3 linked regions of the Arabidopsis thaliana genome follow. The protein of the gene in region 1 purifies or fractionates together with the protein of each later gene. This does not show direct contact. Each region holds a gene or a part of one and is shown in the gene's direction. Other genes may lie near its edges.

Region 1 (7,405 bases):
AATTAATGAAAAAAAGAGAGTATTATTTAGTATATTAATAGCAGGTACAAATGAAATTTGTTTGCTTTCCTTAATTTGCGTGAAAATAATAGAATGACATTCTTTGTGAAACATATAAATATTGAAAGTTTTGTAAAATTTGATTTTCATAGCCATTTCCAACTTGATGGAAAAAGTACATTACTTTCTAAATTTATGTGAAAAATGGTAAAATGACACTCTTTGTAAAAACATATAGAATTTCGAAAGTTTTGTTACGTTTGATTTTCACAGCCATTTTTCAACTTGGTGAAAAAGACAAGACACGAGTAAGCCAACTTTCTCGATCAAGCCGATTTGTTTTTTACAAATGTCATTCTTTTTCAATAAAAAGCATTCAAGATTATTAAAGTAATATTCATTGGGCTACTTCCAGAATATGCTCATATAAAATCCATCAGAATCCAGTCCAATTACACCAATCTGATCAAAAATCCGATCAAAACCGAGGGACATAGAGACCAGAAAACCCGATTGAACCCGTCTTTCAAAGAAGCATCGATTGAAACTTTATTATATACCAGAAACGATCCGTTAAGAATATAGAAACCTAACCATACCATCAATGCGATGTTTTGTTTAGTGTAAAACCGAATAATTGTGTATCCATATGAATTATATATATATATATATATATAAAATTATAACAAATTTATGATCGACTGTATATAAAAATACAATATTTAAATGGCAATGCAAACGGCAAGGAATTATATTATTTGCGTAGACAATTTTATATAATTAAAATTGTAAGAAATTTATGATCGAATGTATATAAAAACAATATTTCAAGGGCAATGCAAACGGCAAGAAGTTATATTATTTGCGTAGAGATTTTCTGTCTTTGCGATAACATGTTTAATAGATCTTTAAGTCTATGACAACTCGTCATATTGATCATAGAAGAATAAATAATTACAACTGGCTAGGGGTAACATGTATAACACTCTATCTTTTGTCAACTCACTCACTATATACATATATACTCTTCTCTCCTCCTAACGCAGAGGCACAAGGGCAATAAGAAAAGAGAGAGATAGATAAATGACGATGATGGCTCTGCTCTTGAACTCGACGATGACTGTGGCTATGAAGCAGAATCCCGCGACCGCGGTATCTTTTATGCAGACTACTTGTTTGGGATCTAGTTTTTCTCCTCCTCGTCATCTTCAAGTTTCGTGTGTTGCCACTAACCCGAGGCGAGTTTTTTTCTTTTTAGATCTTCAATTCTTCGCGTTGATCTCAATGTATTGTTAATAACTTTTTCACTCATTGGGTTTTATATACTTGCATATTAACATATGTTCTATAAATTACAATAAGACACGAACCTGATCAAAATAACAGTGTTCTTAATTAACGATGAAAATGTTACAGCAAGACGTTTCGACCCATCAAAGAAGTATCAAACCAAGTGACACACACAATAACACAAGAGAAACTGGAGATCTTCAAATCAATGGAGAATTGGGCCCAAGAAAACTTATTATCTTACCTCAAACCCGTCGAAACTTCATGGCAACCACAAGACTTTTTGCCAGAAACCAAAGACGAAGACCGATTCTACGAACAAGTGAAAGAGCTAAGAGATCGAACAAAAGAGATCCCTGACGATTACTTTGTAGTTCTTGTCGGAGATATGATCACCGAAGAAGCATTACCGACTTATCAAACGGTTATGAACACTCTCGACGGAGCCAAAGACGAGACCGGTGTTAGTCTAACACCGTGGGCGGTTTGGCTTAGAGCATGGACGGCGGAGGAAAATCGACACGGTGATTTGTTGAATAAGTACCTTTACTTATCAGGTCGTGTTGATACGCGACATGTTGAAAAGACTATTCAATATCTTATCGGATCCGGCATGGTACGTTCTTTTTGGTATTGGCCAAATTGTTACACTCCCATAAATATAGGTGTGCTCAAAATGTAAATTATAATTTCTTTGGGACCATATTGACAAGTTTATAATTATTTTTCAGGACACCAAATATGAGAACAATCCCTACAACGGCTACATCTACACTTCTTTTCAAGAGAGAGCAACTTTTATCTCCCACGCCAACACGGCGAAGCTAGCCACGACATACGGCGACACAACTCTCGCCAAAATCTGTGGAACAATCGCGGCGGATGAGAAGCGGCACGAGATGGCGTATACGCGGATCGTCGAGAAGCTATTCGAGATTGATCCCGATGGTACCGTACAAGCTCTAGCGAGTATGATGAGGAAGCGAATCACGATGCCGGCTCAGCTGATGCACGACGGTCGCGATGACAATCTGTTCGATCATTACGCTGCTGTGGCGCAGAGAATCGGAGTGTATACCGCGACGGATTACGCAGGGATTTTGGAGTTTTTGTTGCGGCGGTGGGAGGTGGAGAAGTTAGGGATGGGTTTGTCCGGTGAAGGAAGGAGAGCACAGGATTATCTGTGTACCTTGCCGCAGAGGATCAGGAGGTTAGAGGAAAGAGCTGACGATAGAGTCAAACGTGCGTCAAAGTCTAAACCTTCTGTTTCGTTCAGCTGGATTTACGGGAGAGAAGTTGAACTCTAAACGACAATGGTTGTTGCGTTTCACTGTATTAGACTCTTAAACGTTATGGGCCTTACTAATGTAATATGGGAAGTAAATGTAATAAAGAAACGCTAAAAGATCTTGCGTTTTAGTGAAACACTGGGTTATAACTACCATATGGCCCATGGGCTTGAAAATTAAGCAAAGAAAATATCTGAGTGGCATAGACGTAATTAAAAGAGTAGCTGAGGGATATTGTAGAGAAGAAAAAAGTTGTATATTAATGTCCCCTTGGCTCGATCATCACGCCCAAAGTTTCTTCTTCACCTTGTCTCTTTTCACAGTCTCACACAGCATAGAAATAATCGAAAGATTTCTTTTTAAAATCTGGGATTTGTTTTTTTTGTTCATTGATCATTTTCGATTGTTAGAGAAGAATCAAATGGCGATGGCTATGGATCGGATCGTCTTCTCCCCTTCATCTTACGTCTATCGTCCTTGTCAAGCTAGGGGATCCAGATCTTCCAGAGTTTCCATGGCTTCTACGATTCGCTCTGCGACTACGTGAGTTTTAATCTCTCTATTTCCAATTCGTGAGCTTATTTTTCTTTAATGCTTTGAATTTGTTCTGATCTGGAGTTTGGTTTGAGTATCGATGATAAACCTCTGGGCTTTGGTTGATCCAGTTTCTTATTTTCATCAATTTGATTCCCAATGCACTCTCATTGTGTGTAGTTACGAGTTATATGATCACATGTATTAGTTTCTGGTTTGTGAAATGAGGAATTTGCTTCATTTGTGTTTAAAAAATCTTTCATTTTTACTGGTTTTCTGATTTATCTGGGAGATTTCTTTAGATCAAAGAATCTTGATTTTTTTTATTTTTTATTTATTTGAAAAGCTATCCTTACATGCAAAGGACAATCTTTGTCTCTATGTTAAATTTTGATAATCTCTTCAACTTTCCCAAACGCATGCATGAATTGTTTTGTGTTTATGACTTTCTTTTTACTTGGTTGTTGACCCATAAGACTACTATGCTAAATCATTACTTCGTTCATTTATTCTCTTGTTTGATTATTATGTTAAGAAAGCTTGTTGGTGTAGTAGCTGCTTAGACTTTTTCTAAAGCTTTATTTGGTTTTAATTACAGAGAGGTTACGAATGGAAGGAAACTGTATATCCCTCCCAGAGAGGTGCATGTCCAAGTCAAACATTCAATGCCGCCACAAAAGTTAGAGATCTTTAAGTCTTTAGAAGGATGGGCTGATGAAACCCTGTTGACTTATTTAAAACCTGTTGAGAAATCGTGGCAGCCTACCGATTTTCTTCCCGAACCTGAGTCGGAAGGATTCTATGACCAAGTCAAGGAGCTAAGGGAAAGGTGCAAGGAACTTCCTGATGACTATTTTGTGGTGCTTGTTGGGGATATGATCACTGAAGAAGCACTTCCTACTTACCAGACCATGTTGAACACATTGGATGGTGTTAGGGATGAGACAGGAGCTAGTCCTACTCCTTGGGCTATATGGACCAGGGCTTGGACTGCTGAGGAGAATAGACATGGGGATCTCCTTAACAAGTATCTTTATCTGTCTGGTCGGGTAGACATGAGGCAGATTGAAAAGACTATTCAGTACCTGATTGGTTCTGGAATGGTAAGCTCTGCTAACTTTCTTTTTTGCTTTAACCCATAATCTCCTAAAGTTGCATTTGCGCTTTAGGAAGTGACTGGGGATGGGGATACAATCGTTACATGCTTGTTTGAATTGATTGTTAAAATTCCATAGGTAGGGGAACAGAAGAGGAATAAGTTGGAACCATTTATCAGTTTTACTTTTTTGGAACTTATCTTGTCATTTCTTAGTATGGCTTATATTGACTTCACAATGACTATCTGCAAATCTTCATGTTAGCAACATACGCATTTTTTATGTTTCAAGTTCTGAAGATAGAATTGGAGTGCTGCTTAGCTGCCACATTAATCACTTTACGGATTTCCATTGTGTAAAGTTTGTATTCCTAATATTCAATGTAAGATTGATCGATTTGTCTTATGTCCTTAGGATCCAAAAACTGAAAACAACCCTTACTTGGGTTTCATCTACACATCATTTCAAGAAAGAGCGACCTTCATCTCCCATGGAAACACTGCCAGACTGGCGAAAGATCGTGGAGATTTGAAACTTGCGCAGATATGCGGGACCATTGCTGCTGATGAGAGGCGTCATGAGACTGCTTACACCAAGATTGTAGAGAAGCTCTTTGAAATTGACCCTGATGGCACGATCTTGGGCCTGGCTGATATGATGAAGAAAAAGATATCAATGCCTGCACATTTAATGTATGATGGCCAAGATGATAACCTGTTTGAGCACTTCTCAACCGTTGCCCAGAGGCTCGGTGTCTACACTGCCAAGGACTATGCTGATATTCTGGAGTTTCTTGTTGAACGGTGGAATGTGGAGACTTTGACAGACCTTTCTAGTGAAGGACACAGGGCCCAGGTAAATTACCTCCATGAAACTTCTTGTGATGAAACCTCCAAGTTTATGAATACTTATAACAATCTTGTAGTAGTTTTTGGTCATGAATACTATATTAGATATACTGTTTTGTGTTTTTGATGATCTGATCGGGACCTAAACTTGAATTCTGACTCTATCATTTCCTTTGACAGGACTTTGTCTGCGGACTACCTGCAAGAATCCGTAAAATTGAAGAGAGAGCTCAAGGAAGAGCCAAAGAAGCTGCCAAAAACATACCATTCAGCTGGATATTTGGTCGAAATATCAGGGCTTAAGAAGTTTACTACACAATTCTCTTTCCAATTATCCCAAGTAAGTCATAAAGGTCTTCACCAACCATTTCACCAATGAAGGACCAGTTTTTAAGACCACGAAAGTTCATTTGAATGTGTTTTGTTTTATACGGAACATTGTAGATAAAGTTATGTGGTTAGGTTATGTTTCTTGTTTGAATCAGTCAAGACCAAAGAAAATGTGTTTGAGTGTTCTTAGATATTGTATGGTTTACCAAGAACAAGACTTAAGATTTTCCTTTACCTTTTTGATTCTCTTTTTGTTGTATCAGTCTAAAGAATGTTCTCTCTTAAATAAAGAGTGGTTTGGCAATAATGTTCTAGAGAACTTGGGTACACATATTCCTTGAATATCATCAATTAAAATTTTCTTATGCAAGACATATAGAATCATCAACAAAGTAATCAACCAATTCAATTCTTCAATACATATAAACCAAACCCTGAAACACAGATCAAACTAACATTTGATACAACCTCTCTTCTCTTAAACAAAATCATTACAAGAAGTGAATTTTTCTTCAAACTTGGAACGCCCATGGGGAATTTTTGAGAGTCTCTTCACTCTGAACCTTACCAGTCCTTTTCATAGCAACTCCATTGTTATCACCATCGACATAAGCGTAGTACTTCAAGAAAAAGGCGAGAACAAGAACGATCCACTCAAGGCAAAAGATTACAACACAGAGCCCACCAGCTAGTTTCAAGATCATAGACGCTTCTTTCTCACGGACGTAAGAGTTAAGGCTCTCGAGGAAATTCGAAGTGTTGGTAAAGATGAGAACAGAGACTGAGCCTTGGAAAATGGCGGTAAGGACAGTTGCGATCATGTGAGCTGCGTACCACCGGTTCTTACCATAAGATGCGGCTGCACAGCCTGAGACGGCGGCTGCGATCGTGGTGGCGTGAAGGAGGATGAGGAAGAAACCGCAGAGTGAAGGGATTAGACGGAGAGAGAGAGTGAGGAAGATGCAGCTTGACGATGCACCGAGGAGGACGTAGTTTGCAGTGAGGAAGAGTTTATGTGTGTAGTAATGAGATTCTTGGATCGATTCTTGTGGTTGAGGAATTAAACCCATGACGATGTTGGAGGTTTCTGATTCGGGTTGCAGAAAATTTTGGATTTTGAGATTGCGAAGAAGAAAGGAAGATAGCTTGCGAATTGTGATTGGGTGAGTTATGAATTTGGGTTTATGTAGAGAGCGATTTAAACGGTCTGATTTTCCAAATATGACCGTTGAGGCTTTACAGAAGTGAAGGACAGATCACCGACAGAGTGAGTTGTTGTTGTGTGTGTAACGGCTAGTGTTTTTTGCTATTCCTTTGTTCCAGAACAAGACTGGCAAGCCCAATGGGCCAAGTTGGGTTCTTGTTTGTCCGAGACAAGGATATTTTTATCCTGAACACGGATATGTTATCCTTACGAAGCAAATATAAGTTTATGTCTTGTGTGTTTTCGTCTGCTTAAATTGAACCGACTCATTCCAACCGAACTAATTATTTGATGAACAAAAAAAACGAATTGTGAATCTTTAATTCGGTTCACACAGTTTATTCAAGATGAAACTTGAAGGCCGTTTCAATACCATTGAAACAGAGTAAAGTCTTGATGAAACCATAACTGCAAATAGGACAAAAACTGTTTCTTCTTCTCTTCTTTACTCTCAGATTGAAAGAAGAAGAATGATTCGATCCAAGATCTTGAGCTGCTTCTAAAATTTAAGAACCATGTTACCTAAAAAACCAATTTTTTCATCTACAGAGCAACACAGGTTTGACGAAACTCGATGGGTCATCAATGTCCAAAAATCTCTCGATGCAGAGCTCGAAGAACACGATCTCGAAGAAGTCACAGTCAGCATTTTCAATGTTCCTAAAGCATTAATGTGTAGCCATCCAGATTCATACACACCTCACCGAGTTTCGATCGGACCTTATCACTGTCTAAAACCAGAGCTTCACGAAATGGAGAGGTATAAACTAATGATCGCGAGAAAAATTCGAAATCAATATAACTCTTTCAGGT
Region 2 (7,231 bases), on another chromosome or scaffold:
AAATATGTTACCTTCTAAAAAATACCCTTCTACTATATACTACCGTAGAACCTACAATGATCATCATGACACATTAAGTAATTACGGCCAAATAAATAATCGAAAATAAATGAACGGTGCAAGTCCAAGGCTTTTTTCTTGTTCTAGGGTTTAGAGGGAATTTGCGCATGACTCGTGTTGTATATCCATTTGATGAGAAGATATATTTCTTCACAACTTGTCCCATAACCCTAATCATTACAAAAATTCCCTATGAATTAAACCACGTGGGAAGTTTGTTCCTTTTGTCAGTTTCTTGTCCCATGAGAAAAACTTGTTACATGTGAAAACACTTCCATGTGAAAGATTCTACCATCTTACTTATTGTTTGGTTTGATCTTACCACTAGTGATGATGTACAGCTAGCCAACGTACAGCCAGTGTTTCAAATCGGCTCGTTAGTTTTAGGGTTACATAGCGCCGAACTTTTTAGTTTTTTGAGAAAAATACTCAACTTCAGATGATTCAGTACCGATTCATATATGACCAATTTTCTTAGATTTGAGTCTGGTTAGACCAAATCCATTACACATTTACACCCCGTCGCTTTTTTTTGTTTTGTTGTTATAGATATGCCTGAAGTTGCTTTCTGAATGGCCACAAAACTGAAATGATCAGATCAAATATGAATGTTTATAAAACAAGATCAAAATCTGGATGGATCGATCCATAGAATCTCATGGCGTCATTTCCATGCCAATTGCCAAAACGAGCCCGGACTAAGTAACACCATTGTGACATTTATATTTATCAATAATGGTTATTTGTATTATGTGTTACTACTTACTACTAGTAAGTTACTAGATATCCAATCTCCGAAAATAAGTTCTATGTAGTTTTAAATGATGCATATATATATGCGAGACAAAAAATGTTGCATGTAAACAAAAAATGCTGATTATTGTGAAATATATTAATTATTTTTTTTATTTTTTTGTTATGAAGGTCATGTTAATTATTTTAAAGACTTTGTTTCAAATAAAATAAAAAATTAATTTTAAAAAATCATATATTTGGTATTACAAATTTTTTGAGGTAATAGTTGTAGTTGACTTTGTAAATAATTTACCAAAAAAAATTATGTTTGAAGTGTACTCTGCCCCAGTAAATAATATTTAGGGCCACCACTATCTATATTATTCAATAAATAAGCGCACATAAAATTCTAATAATTACTTTTTTCTTAAATCCATAATAATTAGTAAGCTAATTATCATTAATAATTATACGTAACAATAGTCTAAATGCATGGCTTTAATCACTATACCATGCACCAAACGACTAATTATTTCATGCGATATGAATCATTGAATACGAAAAATTACTGGAAGATTTCAAATCGACGAATACTAACTCAACAAACTCAACTAATAATGACCTTTAAACAGTTTGGATTATAAATTTATTACCCAATTCAAGAGATAAACAGTAAACCCAGTGACAAGTAGATATCTGAAATTTAAATTTTTTTGAACGGAATTGTTTTTTTAATTCATAGGAACAATTTTTTGGAACATCAATCAGCATATATATGGGTTTTTTTGGGGTCAAATTCAACAGCAAGCATGCATATGGTTTATAAACTTTATATATATGATTTTATTGTCAACCTTTTTTTTTTGGACAAACTGGTTTAATTGTCAACCTATAGATGATATTTCAAGAAAGACTGAATTCTATTTTGAGTTGACTGTATGAGTATGTATGAGTGTAAAAGTCAGCCATTTTGCAGAAACAAATATGCACATCGACGACGACCCTCATGATTTCATAGTTGGCCAGCTCAAGCCGTGTGTCAAATTATTACAAGTTACATTTATTATATTTTCGTTTATATATGCTTTAGAGAATGTAAGATGTAAATGGAAATGGGAGATATGATTGCATTTTGGTTTATATGTCTTCTTCGGAACAATAATACGAAATTATAGTAGTAATCATAAGATAAAGAAATTAATGAACAAAAATTTAAAAAGACTCATATTAAAATAAAGAGGGTAACAAAAGATAATGAAAATAACTCTCTAGATCTAAGCATGATGTGTCTATATACACCGACATTTTTTTCTTTTAATTAAGTGTATTGAAAATAAATTAAATAAGCCATGATTTTGATTTTGCAGTTTCGATTTTGATTTTGATTTTATTTAAAATGCTATATATGAGCCTGGTAACAGGAATGGTCGATGCAGTTTATTTCAATCTCAAGAGCTTACATGTGAAATACACAACTCAATAGCTTTCACTATTTCTTGAACGAAATTGACGAACAAGTAACAAAAAGAAAAATCGAACCGGAGAAGAAATCGTTGGTCTACCAATAACCGGAGTCTCCACGACAGTACAAAACCGACACCGTTTCTTAGTAATTTTATTCTTAAGATACAATATAATTTTATACTCGTATCCAAACAGTCCACACACAACCCCAAAACAAAAGTAAGAAAACTTGTAGACAAAAGTAAACAAAAGTAAACAAAAGTACGATAACAAAACTCTATACTCGTAGACAAACTTCACCGAACGTATTTAGCTAAAGAAAACTTGACCTCAAGATTTTCTTGTCTTCTTTAATCCAGGTGCTTGTAACTATGATTCCATATTACTAAAAACATGCATGTCTCCTTAGCAAAGAAAATCACAAGTAAGAAATGTATCATAATGATGAAAAATGCTATGAGACTGGTAACAAGAAATGGGTGATGAAAACAAATTCAATCTCAAGCAACAGTTCTCACTTAGAAGTGAGATCAGTTCAGGAGCTTTCACTATTTCTTAAATGAACTGAAGAACAAGTGAATACAAAAACAAAATCGAACCGGAGAAATGAAACTCTAAACAATGGAACCGGTGAATAAATCGTGGGTCTGCTGATAACCGGGATTTCCACGACAACACAAAACGACATCGTTTTATAAGATTCTTTATTATTAAACGTAACGAGGATAATTATAAACCCGGACAAATATCCACTAACAAATTCTATCCTCATATCCAAACAGTCCCTCAATTTCTCAAAACCCCAAACAAGTGTTCTTTTCTTATAGAGAGTAGTCTCCCAAGAAGCTGCAGAGACTTGCAAAAATCTCAGATTCAAACAATGGCAGAAGAAGCTAAAGCTAAAGGAAACGCTGCTTTCTCTTCCGGTGACTTCACCACGGCTATAAACCACTTCACCGAAGCCATAGCTCTTGCTCCAACCAATCACGTCCTCTTCTCAAACCGTTCCGCTGCTCACGCGTCGCTTCATCAATACGCCGAAGCTCTCTCCGATGCGAAAGAGACGATTAAACTCAAACCGTATTGGCCTAAAGGTTATAGCCGTCTCGGTGCTGCTCATTTAGGGTTAAACCAGTTTGAGTTAGCCGTCACTGCTTATAAGAAAGGTTTAGATGTCGATCCGACTAACGAGGCGTTGAAATCTGGATTGGCTGATGCGGAGGCGTCTGTTGCTAGGTCACGAGCTGCACCGAATCCGTTTGGTGATGCTTTTCAAGGACCGGAGATGTGGACGAAGCTTACGTCTGATCCTTCGACTAGAGGCTTTTTGCAGCAGCCGGATTTTGTTAACATGATGCAGGAGATTCAGAAGAATCCTAGCAGTCTTAATTTGTATTTGAAGGATCAGAGAGTGATGCAATCTCTTGGAGTTTTATTGAATGTTAAGTTTAGGCCACCGCCGCCTCAGGGAGATGAGGCTGAGGTTCCTGAGTCTGATATGGGTCAGAGTTCTAGTAATGAGCCTGAGGTTGAGAAGAAGAGAGAACCGGAGCCTGAACCGGAACCGGAGGTGACAGAGGAGAAGGAGAAGAAAGAGAGGAAGGAGAAAGCTAAAAAGGAGAAAGAGCTTGGGAATGCTGCGTATAAAAAGAAGGACTTTGAAACTGCTATTCAGCATTATTCTACTGCTATTGAGATTGATGATGAAGACATCTCGTACCTCACAAATCGTGCTGCTGTTTATCTTGAGATGGGAAAGGTATGATTTTCATATGTGTAATGCTCTTTTGTTTTGTCCCTTTATTTGCTGATAGGCTAGAAGCCTAGAATGATGATTTGCTTGTTATGTGCTACAATGGTGATTAGTTTTTAATGTCATTGTGTTTTGATTCAGTACAATGAGTGCATTGAGGATTGTAACAAGGCTGTGGAAAGGGGTAGAGAGCTTAGGTCAGATTACAAGATGGTAGCTAGAGCTTTGACTAGAAAAGGGACTGCTTTGACTAAGATGGCCAAATGCTCGAAAGACTATGAACCTGCCATTGAAGCTTTCCAGAAGGCTCTTACAGAGCACCGTAACCCTGATACGTTGAAGAGACTTAACGATGCGGAAAGAGCAAAGAAAGAGTGGGAACAGAAGCAATATTTCGATCCTAAGCTAGGGGATGAAGAGCGTGAAAAAGGTGATTGCTTTAGCAATTAGTCTCTTTTTTTTTTTTTGTGTGTGTGTGTGTGTGTGTGTGTGGGAAAAGAAAGCTTATAGAACCCTGAAAACAAGAATGAATTAGCGTTTTTACTGCTGCTGTTGTGGTGTATTTAATACAGGTAACGATTTCTTCAAGGAGCAGAAGTATCCTGAGGCCATAAAACATTACACCGAAGCAATCAAAAGGAACCCAAATGACCATAAAGTAAGGGCACTTCATCATATTTATATGTTCTTAAGGTCTTCTACAATGATTTTCTATTCCGACTGTTTGAGCAACTCGTACTTTTTTTGCACCTATGTTAGGCATATAGCAACCGAGCTGCTAGTTACACTAAGCTAGGTGCAATGCCTGAAGGACTAAAGGATGCAGAAAAGTGTATTGAGCTCGATCCAACCTTCTCTAAAGGATACAGCAGAAAAGCTGCAGTCCAATTCTTCCTCAAAGAGTACGACAATGCGATGGAAACATACCAAGCGGGTCTCGAGCATGATCCTAGTAATCAGGAACTTCTTGACGGTGTTAAAAGGTATATACACAGATACACAGAGATTATTAACTTTTCTATCTATTGCCATGAATTTGTTTAATGTGGTTCAAATCTATTCTGCAGATGTGTACAACAAATCAACAAGGCTAATCGCGGAGACCTTACTCCTGAGGAATTGAAAGAGAGACAGGTTAGTTACATTCTGATGATTCTCATGTTTTCTCCCCCCATTTGTGATTGAAAGAAAACCCGGGAAGCTAACTTGGATTTCTCCTTTTCTTTTGTGTAGGCAAAGGGAATGCAAGACCCAGAAATCCAGAACATCCTCACAGATCCTGTAATGAGACAGGTAAATAAACAAACTCTGTCGTAAATTGTGATTGTATGAGTATGATGCAATTTTTGTTTGAATCGAGTTTCTTATTACCAATGTTACTCTGTTGTGAGATGTCTAGATAGATCTAACTATGTTTTTACGTGTTGGTTCGAGTTTGCATGTGATAATACCTCTTAACATTCTAAAACCTTTCTTCCAAACAGGTACTGTCTGATCTTCAAGAGAATCCAAGCGCAGCACAGAAGCACATGCAAAATCCAATGGTTATGAACAAGATTCAAAAGCTTATTAGCGCTGGGATCGTCCAGATGAAATAAACTCAGAAGAGTTGAAACATCGAATATCCGTTTTGGCAGATTCATTTTTTCTCTTATATCTTTGCAATCTGCAACAATTCTAGATTTGTGACCGGCTGATTTCCCATGTTTACTGACGTTGTGTTCCGAACAAATTGCAATCATATTTTCTTCTGATATAACATTTACTGCGATCCTTAAAGTTATGTTGCTTTACATCTCTATACCATTTGGAGCATAAGAGAGCAAATGGCTAAATACACAACGACTTTGTCATTCACAAAATTTGAATCATTTCATTGCTTCAGCTCTACAAATTGCTACCGCACATAACTAACTTGCCATTCAGGTCCAAAGAACTTGAAAAAAGGTAAGAAACGGAGTCTTGTGGCTTCGTTGTCCCATTCAACCCTTTCAAGCCATTCTTCCTCTTGGTACTTAATGACAAGTTCTTCATCCCTTATGGCAATTTCAGAATCCAATGGAAGCTTTCTCAGCTCAGGACACTTCGTTATGTGAATTGTCTTCAGACATGGAAAAGACAGAGGTTGCCAGTAGATGCTCCTCAACATCGCTAGATTGTGTAGGCGTAGACTCTCTAGTTTCTGGAAAGGAATGATACCACTCATAGTCATAGCTTTCTCTTGGTTTATTATTCCTTCTACTAGTTCCGAGTCCAGAACCTCGAGACTAGTGAGGTTAGGAGCGAACAACAACCACGTCAAATCCTTCAGACCATCACAGCTACTTATATGCACAGTGGAGAGGTTATGGAGGAATTGAGTTTTGGGACTTCTGTTCGATGATAATGATAAAGTTTTCCTCTCTATCTTTATCTCACACATTCCACACTTCCTTATGATGACTTTATTGAGATTATCCATATCTGGCAAAGTCAATACTCCGGATGATTCTTCCTGAACTCCTCTAAGTACTAAGATTTGAAGACATTTCACCAACCTGGGAGCATTTAACAACTTCTCCACTACCAAGCTTGACTTGATACTTATGTTTAGAACTTCTAAATGTTCTAATAGCTGCAACTCCTCCACTAAGCTCATGTCTAGCGACATTTTAGACTGTAAAAGTTGCAATTTCCTCAAACTTGATATATTTGATATCCCTGAAATACTCTTAAGTCTCTTCATGTAATCCAATCTCAAATATCTGAGCTTTTTCAACTCTTGTAGACCGACAGGTAGCCGCTTAATGTATGTCCACGACAAGTCAAGATAACGCAAGGAGACTAACTTTGATATTTGGTTAGGCAATTTCCGGAGACTTGAATTCCCTGATAGATCCAAAACAACTAGCATTGGGATACACCGGAAGAATTCATCCGAGATATGTAGCAATGAATCATTTTTCTGAAGGAACAGAGTTGTAAGTTCCAGGCATTCGGGACTGCCAGATAAAATTTCAATCTCATTTTCCATCAGCGACATCCTTCTCACAGAACTCCAGTTCTTGACTTTCGGTACCTCACGTAATCCAACACCGACTTGCACAATACATCTTTCTTTATGTTCCCCAAGATCAGATGCAATCCATAGAGCCATCTCCCGAACCACATCATGCATTTTAACTTGTTCTTTATTGATAGCTTCCTCCAACAACAAACATGCTCGGACAAGGATACCAA
Region 3 (8,675 bases), on another chromosome or scaffold:
CACTGGTACACAACTCAGCAACTACTCCTAATGTCAATGAATTTATAATCTGGTTGTAGAGAATAACATTTTGTGTTTTTGTTGTTTCTCATCATGAGGCCGCTACTAGTGGAAAATATCTGGATCCTTGTTTGAATATGCTCGTAAGAAATTTCAGTCAACCTACTTTTAAGCATAAAGTTTCACAAACCCAATTAGTCAAAAAGATGCAGGAAGTTCATCCACGGGTGCATGCAGCCCTTCACAAGATTTCTTATTTAATTCCTCTTGCTCCCTGGAATTTAGTGTCTATACTTGCGCAGAACATGCGTAAAATTGACAAAAAGGACCCTGTAAGTTTTTTTTTTTTTGGTTATAGTTTAGACTATGTAACAGTGAGGTCATATTGGTGGTAAAGAATTGAAACTATCTTTTTGTCTTGAAGTCTATAGTGACATATGTGGATAACCTGTTGAGGTTGGAGAATAGCTCAATCGGAGAAGTTGTTGGCAGCGTGATTCTTATGATGGTAATGGAGAGGATGCTAGATTTAGATGTAAGTAGATGTTAATTTTTTATAAAAATGTAGCCACTAAGTAAAGTGGCAAGTGAATGATATGCTTGAGCATCTTTGTAGTTGGTAAGTGGATGTGATGACTCTAATGGAGGCATGTTTGATATGGAACTTGAAGATGCAGTTGAAAGCACTATGAATGAAGGAGACGAGGTAGGGTTAGTGTAATTTTTTGCTATCTTTGCAAAATCCCGAAACTTACTCTGTTTAGTAATGATCGAAAGTTACTTGATGACAAGATACCATTTTCTCTTGTTGTGAAATGTTAGACATGACCTCTGGTTTCCTGGAGAAGAATGTGTCATCATTCATAAATTTGATCTCTTTTTGCAGTTTCCAGTGGGGGCTCTAAAACAAAATACTTCAGGTGGAAATGTAGTCTCTGAACTGTTGGACAAATTGATGGTCCTATTTTTTCATCATCTAGAATCCTGTCAAAACTCTGATCGTTTGGATGAGGTATGGCACCAAATGGTACTTGTTCAACATATTTTTCCTTTCCTTTGTGGTAGATTCATTGATCTTTTGGTGTTTCTGTTTTTCATTTTGGCATAGGTATTTGAAATCCTCTTTAAGTCGTTCGAGAACTATATTCTGAACACATACAAAACAAAATTTTCACAGGTAGGCATCAAAGCTATCACCTTACATACTACAAAGTTTTCATTGTAGGCTTCTAGCATTAGTTCATTATCGGCATGTGATGTCTTGGCTTAGACTCACTCTACTTTCATCTGCAGTTTCTGATGTTCTATGCATGCTCACTAGATCCTGAAAATTGTGGTGTGAGATTTGCCAGTAAGCTGTTGGACATATATCTCTCCAGCAACACATGTCGACTTACTAGGCGAGTTTAATCTTGTCCTTCTTGGTAAAGATTTCTCTGCATGATATGAAGCTAATATTGTTCTAATCACCACTTGTGTATTCTTTTGTTTTCTCTTTATACTTAACAGGATGAGTGCAGTGGCTTATCTAGCTAGCTATTTGTCTCGTGGAAAGTTTTTGCCTGCTTCTTTTGTGGCTAGCATGTTGAAAAGGTACGTATTGCTAAAAAATGGAAAATGTAATTGTTTGATCTGATTTAAGTCTCGCTTTGTTGTAACATAGTTTCTCTTTTGCTGAAATCCTAGATTGGTGGACGAGTGTGCGGAATATTGCGGAACATGCAATGATGATGTGAAGCCAGAAGCACATCAAGTGTTCTATTCTGGATGTCAGGTATAGTCCAAGTTTAAGACCATCTTATGGCTTTTGATTCCTTAAGAACTCTTCTGTGAAATCATTGACGTCTCTAGTTATCAATCATTGTTAATGTTCACACCCTTACCAGAAGCTTATTGGCGTTTGGGATCATATGCTATTATGTCATGTATCGCTTAAAGTTGTTACTTTTCTATGACTGTAGGCAATCTTGTATGTGCTATGCTTCCGAATGAGATCCATAGTGGAGATTCCTCGCTTTCAATCGCAGTTTAGATCATTGGAGTCAATTTTATCTCACAAACTAAACCCACTACTGGTGGGTGACTTACACTAATCATTTTCTTCTCATAGCTCAACTGTTATTTTAAGTAGTCTTCACTCCAAGTATCAAATGCATTATGCTTGCACCATTCATTTTGTGTGAACAGGTGTGTCTTCCATCTGTAGTTTCCGAGTTCCTTAAACAAGCCAAAGCTGGTGGTCTGTTCATTGTCTCAGAATCCTTCATTTTCGATGACCTACACGAGTCTGAGCTCTCTCGTGCTTTTGGTGGCTTTGAAAGGCTTGACACATTCTTCCCGTTTGACCCGTGCTTGTTGAAAATGTCTAGCAGGTTTGCTATCTTTACTCTTGATTATTTTTTCTCTTCCAAAGTAAGGACAAATCAATGTGAGAATCTTACACAAGGTTCTTGACTCACTGGATGAATTTACCCGACCTGGGCATATTTGATACAAATTCTACTGCATACATCTTAATTACAGTCTTGAAATGACATTGAAAATTATTTTAATATGATAAAACAAGTGATGAATCAAAGTATTTGCATTGGATAGGCTTGAACTCTCTTTCTCACACGTGTTTTCTTGTCAATTCTTGAAGCTACATCTCCCCGAACTTCAACTTCTGGTCAATGGTGAAAACGACTTATGGAGAAGATGGTGACGAAGAGCTTTGTGATGAGGTCATAGTGAATGGAGATGCAGACAGTGCGGAGGAACCTGACGATGACGTTGAACTTGATAGTGAGATGAACACGATGTCTACAACTCCGAAACACTCTTTCATGCGAGAAACAGAGAGGCTCTTGAAGATGCCTTCAAGAATCAGACCATCCACTAGTCCTCCTGAATCCTTCTTAATCTAATAGTCATAGAGAGAGGGAATGCAATTTTGCAATGTAGGTTTCTTATTACAATCTCTTAGCTAGTGCGTAAACTCTAAAAAAAAGAAGTTGACATGAGTTTTGTGCGAGTCTGTGGTATTATCTGATCGCATGTGGTTTTGTAGCAAAATTTTGAAGAACATCTATGAAGTAAAATTTAGTCAGTTGGTTTATGATTACCTAATTTGAGTTTCGGTTTAATTTGGTTAAGTTGAAATGCTGAATGATTGATTTCTCGGTTTAGTGTTCAATATTGGGTTTACTTTGTCCACAAAATTGGTTAAAAATAGCTCTTTGTATTTTGGTAAATGTCCCGCAAATGGTTAAAAGTAAACCGGGAATTGACCCTCCGATTTAAACCGGTCCGTAAACCAGCTGAGCAATCTCTCTTTAACCTCGGCGTCGGCGTCTTGTAGCTTCTTCTGCTAGGCTTTGTTAATCAGCAAAAACCCTAGAATATCTTAGAGCTTCGCTTCACTTTCAAGCTCGAGACTTTGAGAAAGATGCCTCCGAAAGCCAAAGCTAAAGATGCAGGTCCCGTAGAGAGGCCTATTCTTGGCCGTTTCTCTTCTCACCTCAAGATCGGAATTGTAATTTTTCTCTTCATCTCTCTTTTAGAATCCAAGTTGATTAATTTCGAATGGTGAATGGTAGATTTGCTCATCGCAATACTTTCCTCGATAAAAGTTTTTTTTTTTTTTCTTCTTCTGAGTTTTGCCGGGAGAGATCTATTAACTCATCAGTGATGCATGATGATATTGTTTGTTTCGTTGTGTTTGTCACTGTACTCTTTTAGATGTTTAATCCATATTTAAGAAACTGCTTCTTTGATACAGTGATTAAGGTTGATTGTTCATGGTTGATATGATGATATGGAGAAGTATTGATGTTATTCACTATGGGAATTGTTTGTGGCATCGCAGGTTGGGTTACCAAATGTTGGAAAATCTACTCTTTTCAACACTCTTACAAAGCTTTCAATTCCAGCTGAGAATTTCCCCTTTTGTACCATTGAGCCTAATGAGGCACGTGTGAATATCCCCGATGAGAGGTTCGATTGGCTTTGCCAAACTTACAAGCCTAAGAGTGAGGTAAGTTTGTAACTTTATTTCATGACTTGCTGTTAAGGAAGAGATTACTACTATCTGAATTACTTTATGAATGGGCTGACTTCTGTCTGTTTTGATGCCTCAGATTCCAGCTTTCTTGGAAATTCATGACATTGCTGGGCTTGTTAGAGGAGCTCATGAAGGACAGGGTCTTGGAAACAACTTCTTGTCCCATATTCGTGCAGTTGATGGAATTTTCCATGTTTTACGTATGGTTTTTCCCTCTCGCTTTTTCTCCTAGTGCCAGCTTTGTTTTAGTGTGATGCGTGATTTGATGAATAATTTAGACTGTACTGCTACTTGTGCTGTCTTGAATTTCTACTTGAGCAGGCTTTTCAATGAGAGACAGGTTAAAAACCTTTATATATTTTTCTTCCCATTTGATACCTATAGGGCCATTGCGATAGTTAGTTTATGTTTTCCTCTCCAAGCATATCTGTTCTTGAACAACGGGGATGTTTCTTTAATAGTTGCTGATAGTAAGATATCTTGCCAGTTATATAGTGGTTAGTGACTTTTCGATTGAACATATGCAGGTGCTTTTGAAGATGCTGATATTATCCATGTCGACGATATCGTGGATCCTGTTAGAGATTTGGAGACCATTACTGAAGAGTTGCGGCTAAAGGTGAATCAAATCTCTAAACAGATATTTGACTGCTATATCTCCAAACTCGTGAAATCCTTTCTGTGTATATTAATACAGTAGTCTGTTTTTTGTATTAGTTGGATCTTCATTTCATCCATTGTTGTTTTGGTTTCAAACTGAATTCTTTGGTGCAACTTTAGGATATTGAATTTGTTGGAAAGAAGATTGATGATGTCGAGAAGAGCATGAAGAGGAGCAATGACAAGCAGCTGAAAATAGAACTTGAGCTCTTGCAAAAGGTATGCTATAATTTGACAACCATGCAGTCTTGTTCTGCAAATGTTATTGCTCATTAATTATTAATTGGCCGAAAAAATGACTGTACCTCTCTGGTTTAGGTAAAAGCTTGGCTAGAAGATGGTAAGGATGTCCGTTTTGGGGACTGGAAAACAGCTGATATCGAGATTTTGAACACTTTCCAATTGCTTTCTGCAAAGCCCGTTGTTTACTTGGTGAGTAGTCTTGAATGTTCATCTCTTTCTGTTACCATTGTTTCTATCAAGATAAATGCATTTGCTTCTTTCATATCTATAGTCGACAATTTTGTTCCCTCAATTTTTTTCGGGTCAGTTTGCAAAATGTAGGTCATACTGTCTATTTTTGTGACACTATTTGCCCCCAAATTTAACCATAGTGTGTTCCTTAGCTATTTCTGATCTCTATGCTTTCATGTTTGTTTCAACTATGTGTTTCATCTCAGTGTAAGAACTATTAAGGCATCTTGGTTGGACTTTTTGTGATCACTGGTTACTCTGAAATTTAAATTACAGATTAACCTGAATGAGAGAGACTATCAGAGGAAGAAAAACAAGTTCTTGCCAAAGATTCATGCCTGGTACTAATATATATCCTTTCACAAACTATGTTGAATAATAAGTAAAACATTTTGCCCCTTGGTTGTTGCAAAAGTTTCTAATATGGCTACGTGCTTACACATTTACTTACCTTATTATACTTCTCCTAAACTAAAAATATCTGTTTCATCATTATGTAGGGTTCAAGAACACGGTGGTGATACTATGATTCCTTTCAGTGGTGTGTTTGAAAGGAGTCTCGCTGATATGGCCCCAGATGAAGCAGCAAAGTATTGTGAGGAGAACAAACTGCAAAGGTTAGGAATAAAAGAACAGCACCTTGCGAATGAATAGTTGCTCCTGAAGATGATTTTTCTTTATGAATCTGTTAAATTGAATCTTATGGCCATTGCTGCTTTGACAGTGCTCTTCCGAGGATCATCAAAACTGGATTTTCAGCAATTAACCTCATATACTTCTTTACAGCAGGGCCTGATGAGGTATTAACAGTCCCACTTTACTTGGCTTCACTACACGCTTTAGTCTCTAGTTCTCTGTGAAATTCTTCTAAGCATAATTGTTCTGTAATGAGCTATTTGGTAGTGCATGATCAGTGTTATGTGTCAAGTAGTGCATTGTTACTGGAATTTGATGGTTTATAAAATACATCCATCAATGATACTTTGATTTGCAGGTGAAGTGCTGGCAAATAAGACGGCAGTCAAAGGCTCCTCAAGCTGCAGGGGCCATTCATACTGATTTTGAGAGAGGATTTATTTGTGCTGAGGTACCATTTTCTCATTTCTCTTGAATCTTGGTCAATTCACTAGTTTATTCCTACCTAAAATTTACATGCGTAAAGCCTTTCCCCTCCAGATTTTGATGATTTGTTCTGTTATAGAGTTTATATAATCTTTCTTATGTTTTCACTGACAAAAACAAATGCTTGCTTGCATATTCTTATATTCATCTTGGTGTTGATTTCCTAGTATCGATGCAGGCCTGTAGATATCAAAGCAGAATCCTAATGCAAACCATATCTAATCAAATATTTTTCTGTTTTGAAATTCAATGTGATTTATTCCAATGTTGTTGTTGATGTCACAGGTCATGAAATTCGAGGATCTCAAGGAACTTGGCAATGAACCTGCAGTCAAGGTATTTGTCTATAACTTCTTTTCCTTCTACAATCTCTTAAGGTCTCGGTGGAGTAAGTAGCCTCTAAAAACAGACATGAAAATGTTAAGGAAGCTCTCCACTGTGCAAGATATCCTCGTTGAAGAGGCATGATTATATTTATAATGTTCATGGCGATGACACTTGGTCTAATTTATAATCCCTTCAACTAATGCAGGCCGCAGGAAAATACAGACAGGAGGGTAAAACATATGTTGTTCAGGATGGAGATATCATTTTCTTCAAGTTCAATGTTTCCGGTGGTGGGAAGAAATGAGATCCATCCGTCTGTCCACCTATCCGCGGTGTCCTCTCTGGATCTTGAAGCTCTATCCATTTCCGAGAAAGGAACCAAGCTGTATTTTCCGTTTTTGAGTGGCTTTACCAAACAAGTATTTGTAACTCTTTACATTTTGCAGTTAGCTAAGACATGTCTTTGCCTTTAGACAGAGCATTAAGCCTGCTGTATCGTTTAGAACTCTTTCAATAAGTTTTTCTCTACTATTTGGAAAGAACCTTGAGTAATTGTGCGTGAGAATGAGTTGAAGAAACCCAGCAAACAACTTCTGGTGCACTTATTAGCGAAGGAAACAAATGGAAAGAATGATTAAACGAATACCTTAAGGAAATTATATTTGCAGTGTATATTACAAGCTCTATTACAAAAGAGCTTCTGGATAGATCACAATCAATTATAACAAAAGAACAAAAGAATTATTTTGGGACTGGCCAATCCAATTGCTTCCTCTAAGCCGAATTGTGAAGAGCAGATCCTGTTTGGCTCTGCTCAGTTTCTGAGGAATCTTGATTGGAACAAGCTGGAAGAGTAAAGCTCTCTGGTGCTTCTTCTACCGCTTGGCTGCTCGAAAACGAGTTTTCTCCATTCTGTTTGCGAAGCCAAGCTTCATGAATCTGCAAAACATACTCCAAGCTCCATAACACTTCTCCCATCATTGGCCTGTTCTTCCCTTCATCCGCTAAGCACTTCTCTGCTATCTCCCCATACTTCTCCAACGATTCAGGACTGTAGTTTCCCCTCAGATTTGAGTCGATGATGGACTCGAGGTTTCTCTGTTTTTGCCAGCTTAAAGCCCATTCCGCAAGGTTGATCTGGTCTTTAGGCAAAGTTGGGTTTATAACAGCTCGAGCACAAACAGCTTCGAACAACACAACACCAAAAGAGTAAACATCTGACTTCTCTGTTAACTGTTGCCTTCTAAAGTATTCAGGATCAAGATAACCAAAACTTCCTTTCACAGCTGTACTCACATGAGTATGGTCCATGGACGGTCCAGCTTTCGACAGCCCAAAATCAGACATCTTTGCCACAAAGTTCTCGTCTAATAGTATGTTTGTTGTTTTGACATCTCTGTGAATGATTCCTCTCTCTGACCCTGTGTGAAGGTAATGCAATCCTCTCGCAGAGCCTATACAAGCTTCAAGCCGTTGCTTCCATGATAATGGCGGAAGGTTGCTTCCAAAGAGATGACTCCTGAGAGTTCCATTTGCCATGTATTCATAAACCAAGATCATCTCATTGTGCTCATCGCAGAACCCGATCAAAGACACAAGATGCCTATGCCTAAGTCTTGAGAGCATCACGATCTCGGTTTCGAATTCAGCAAGCCCTTGCTGAGAATGTGGGGTGGCTCGTTTTATAGCTATGAGTGTTCCATCTTCAAGCTCTCCTCTGTAAACCTTACCAAACCCTCCAACTCCAATAGCTAAACCATCATCAAAGTTCTTAGTTGCTGCACGAATCTCGGCTAGTGTAAACTTCCTTCCCATTGTAGATGCTGCAAGAGTGTTCAGTCTCAGCGAGCCTCCCGTTGCTTTGGCGTTTGCAGTACTGTTATTGACATGCAAAAACAACGGACGCCACCCGGGAGGATTGTTTTTCGACTCATCTGATTTGCTTCGCCTTTTCTTGCATAAACATACTACCAAGATTCCCAAGAACACGAAAAAAATGATAATTGCTATACCAGCACCAACACTGATCCAAATAATCCGCATCTTCGAG

What was found. Proteins that work in one complex are often made in the same cells at the same time.
Region 2: the proteins of AT3G02630 (region 1) and Hop1 fractionate together in Arabidopsis thaliana (co-fractionation; one large-scale study listed by BioGRID). This does not show direct contact.
Region 3: the proteins of AT3G02630 (region 1) and AT1G30580 fractionate together in Arabidopsis thaliana (co-fractionation; one large-scale study listed by BioGRID). This does not show direct contact.

The regions. Positions count from the first base shown.
Region 1 is NC_003074.8:559,164-566,568, forward strand, and holds AT3G02630 (Plant stearoyl-acyl-carrier-protein desaturase family protein), read left to right. Parts: upstream 1-2,866; 5' UTR 2,867-3,000; coding exon 3,001-3,122; intron 3,123-3,711; coding exon 3,712-4,216; intron 4,217-4,624; coding exon 4,625-5,065; intron 5,066-5,238; coding exon 5,239-5,361; 3' UTR 5,362-5,707; downstream 5,708-7,405. Other genes in the region: AT3G02620 (Plant stearoyl-acyl-carrier-protein desaturase family protein), read left to right, coding at 1,084-1,238, 1,417-1,906, 2,022-2,597; AT3G02640 (uncharacterized protein), read right to left, coding at 5,901-6,458; AT3G02645 (transmembrane protein, putative (DUF247)), read left to right, coding at 7,108-7,405. UniProt on the Arabidopsis thaliana protein: Converts stearoyl-ACP to oleoyl-ACP by introduction of a cis double bond between carbons 9 and 10 of the acyl chain.
Region 2 is NC_003070.9:4,168,966-4,176,196, forward strand, and holds Hop1 (stress-inducible protein), read left to right. Parts: upstream 1-3,069; 5' UTR 3,070-3,139; coding exon 3,140-4,018; intron 4,019-4,153; coding exon 4,154-4,442; intron 4,443-4,584; coding exon 4,585-4,670; intron 4,671-4,771; coding exon 4,772-4,995; intron 4,996-5,079; coding exon 5,080-5,146; intron 5,147-5,245; coding exon 5,246-5,305; intron 5,306-5,496; coding exon 5,497-5,610; 3' UTR 5,611-5,765; downstream 5,766-7,231. Other genes in the region: SUMM2 (LRR and NB-ARC domains-containing disease resistance protein), read right to left, coding at 5,910-7,231. UniProt on the Arabidopsis thaliana protein: Mediates the association of the molecular chaperones HSP70 and HSP90. Mediates nuclear encoded chloroplast preproteins binding to HSP90 prior to chloroplastic sorting.
Region 3 is NC_003070.9:10,830,207-10,838,881, reverse strand, and holds AT1G30580 (GTP binding protein), read left to right. Parts: upstream 1-3,246; 5' UTR 3,247-3,427; coding exon 3,428-3,514; intron 3,515-3,847; coding exon 3,848-4,015; intron 4,016-4,118; coding exon 4,119-4,242; intron 4,243-4,569; coding exon 4,570-4,661; intron 4,662-4,822; coding exon 4,823-4,921; intron 4,922-5,020; coding exon 5,021-5,134; intron 5,135-5,452; coding exon 5,453-5,517; intron 5,518-5,676; coding exon 5,677-5,793; intron 5,794-5,900; coding exon 5,901-5,976; intron 5,977-6,170; coding exon 6,171-6,263; intron 6,264-6,583; coding exon 6,584-6,634; intron 6,635-6,830; coding exon 6,831-6,929; 3' UTR 6,930-7,209; downstream 7,210-8,675. Other genes in the region: AT1G30590 (RNA polymerase I specific transcription initiation factor RRN3 protein), read left to right, coding at 1-5, 99-332, 425-535, 617-706, 887-1,012, 1,109-1,177, 1,294-1,400, 1,510-1,593 and 4 more; HERK2 (hercules receptor kinase 2), read right to left, coding at 7,400-8,675. UniProt on the Arabidopsis thaliana protein: Hydrolyzes ATP, and can also hydrolyze GTP with lower efficiency. Has lower affinity for GTP. Exhibits GTPase activity.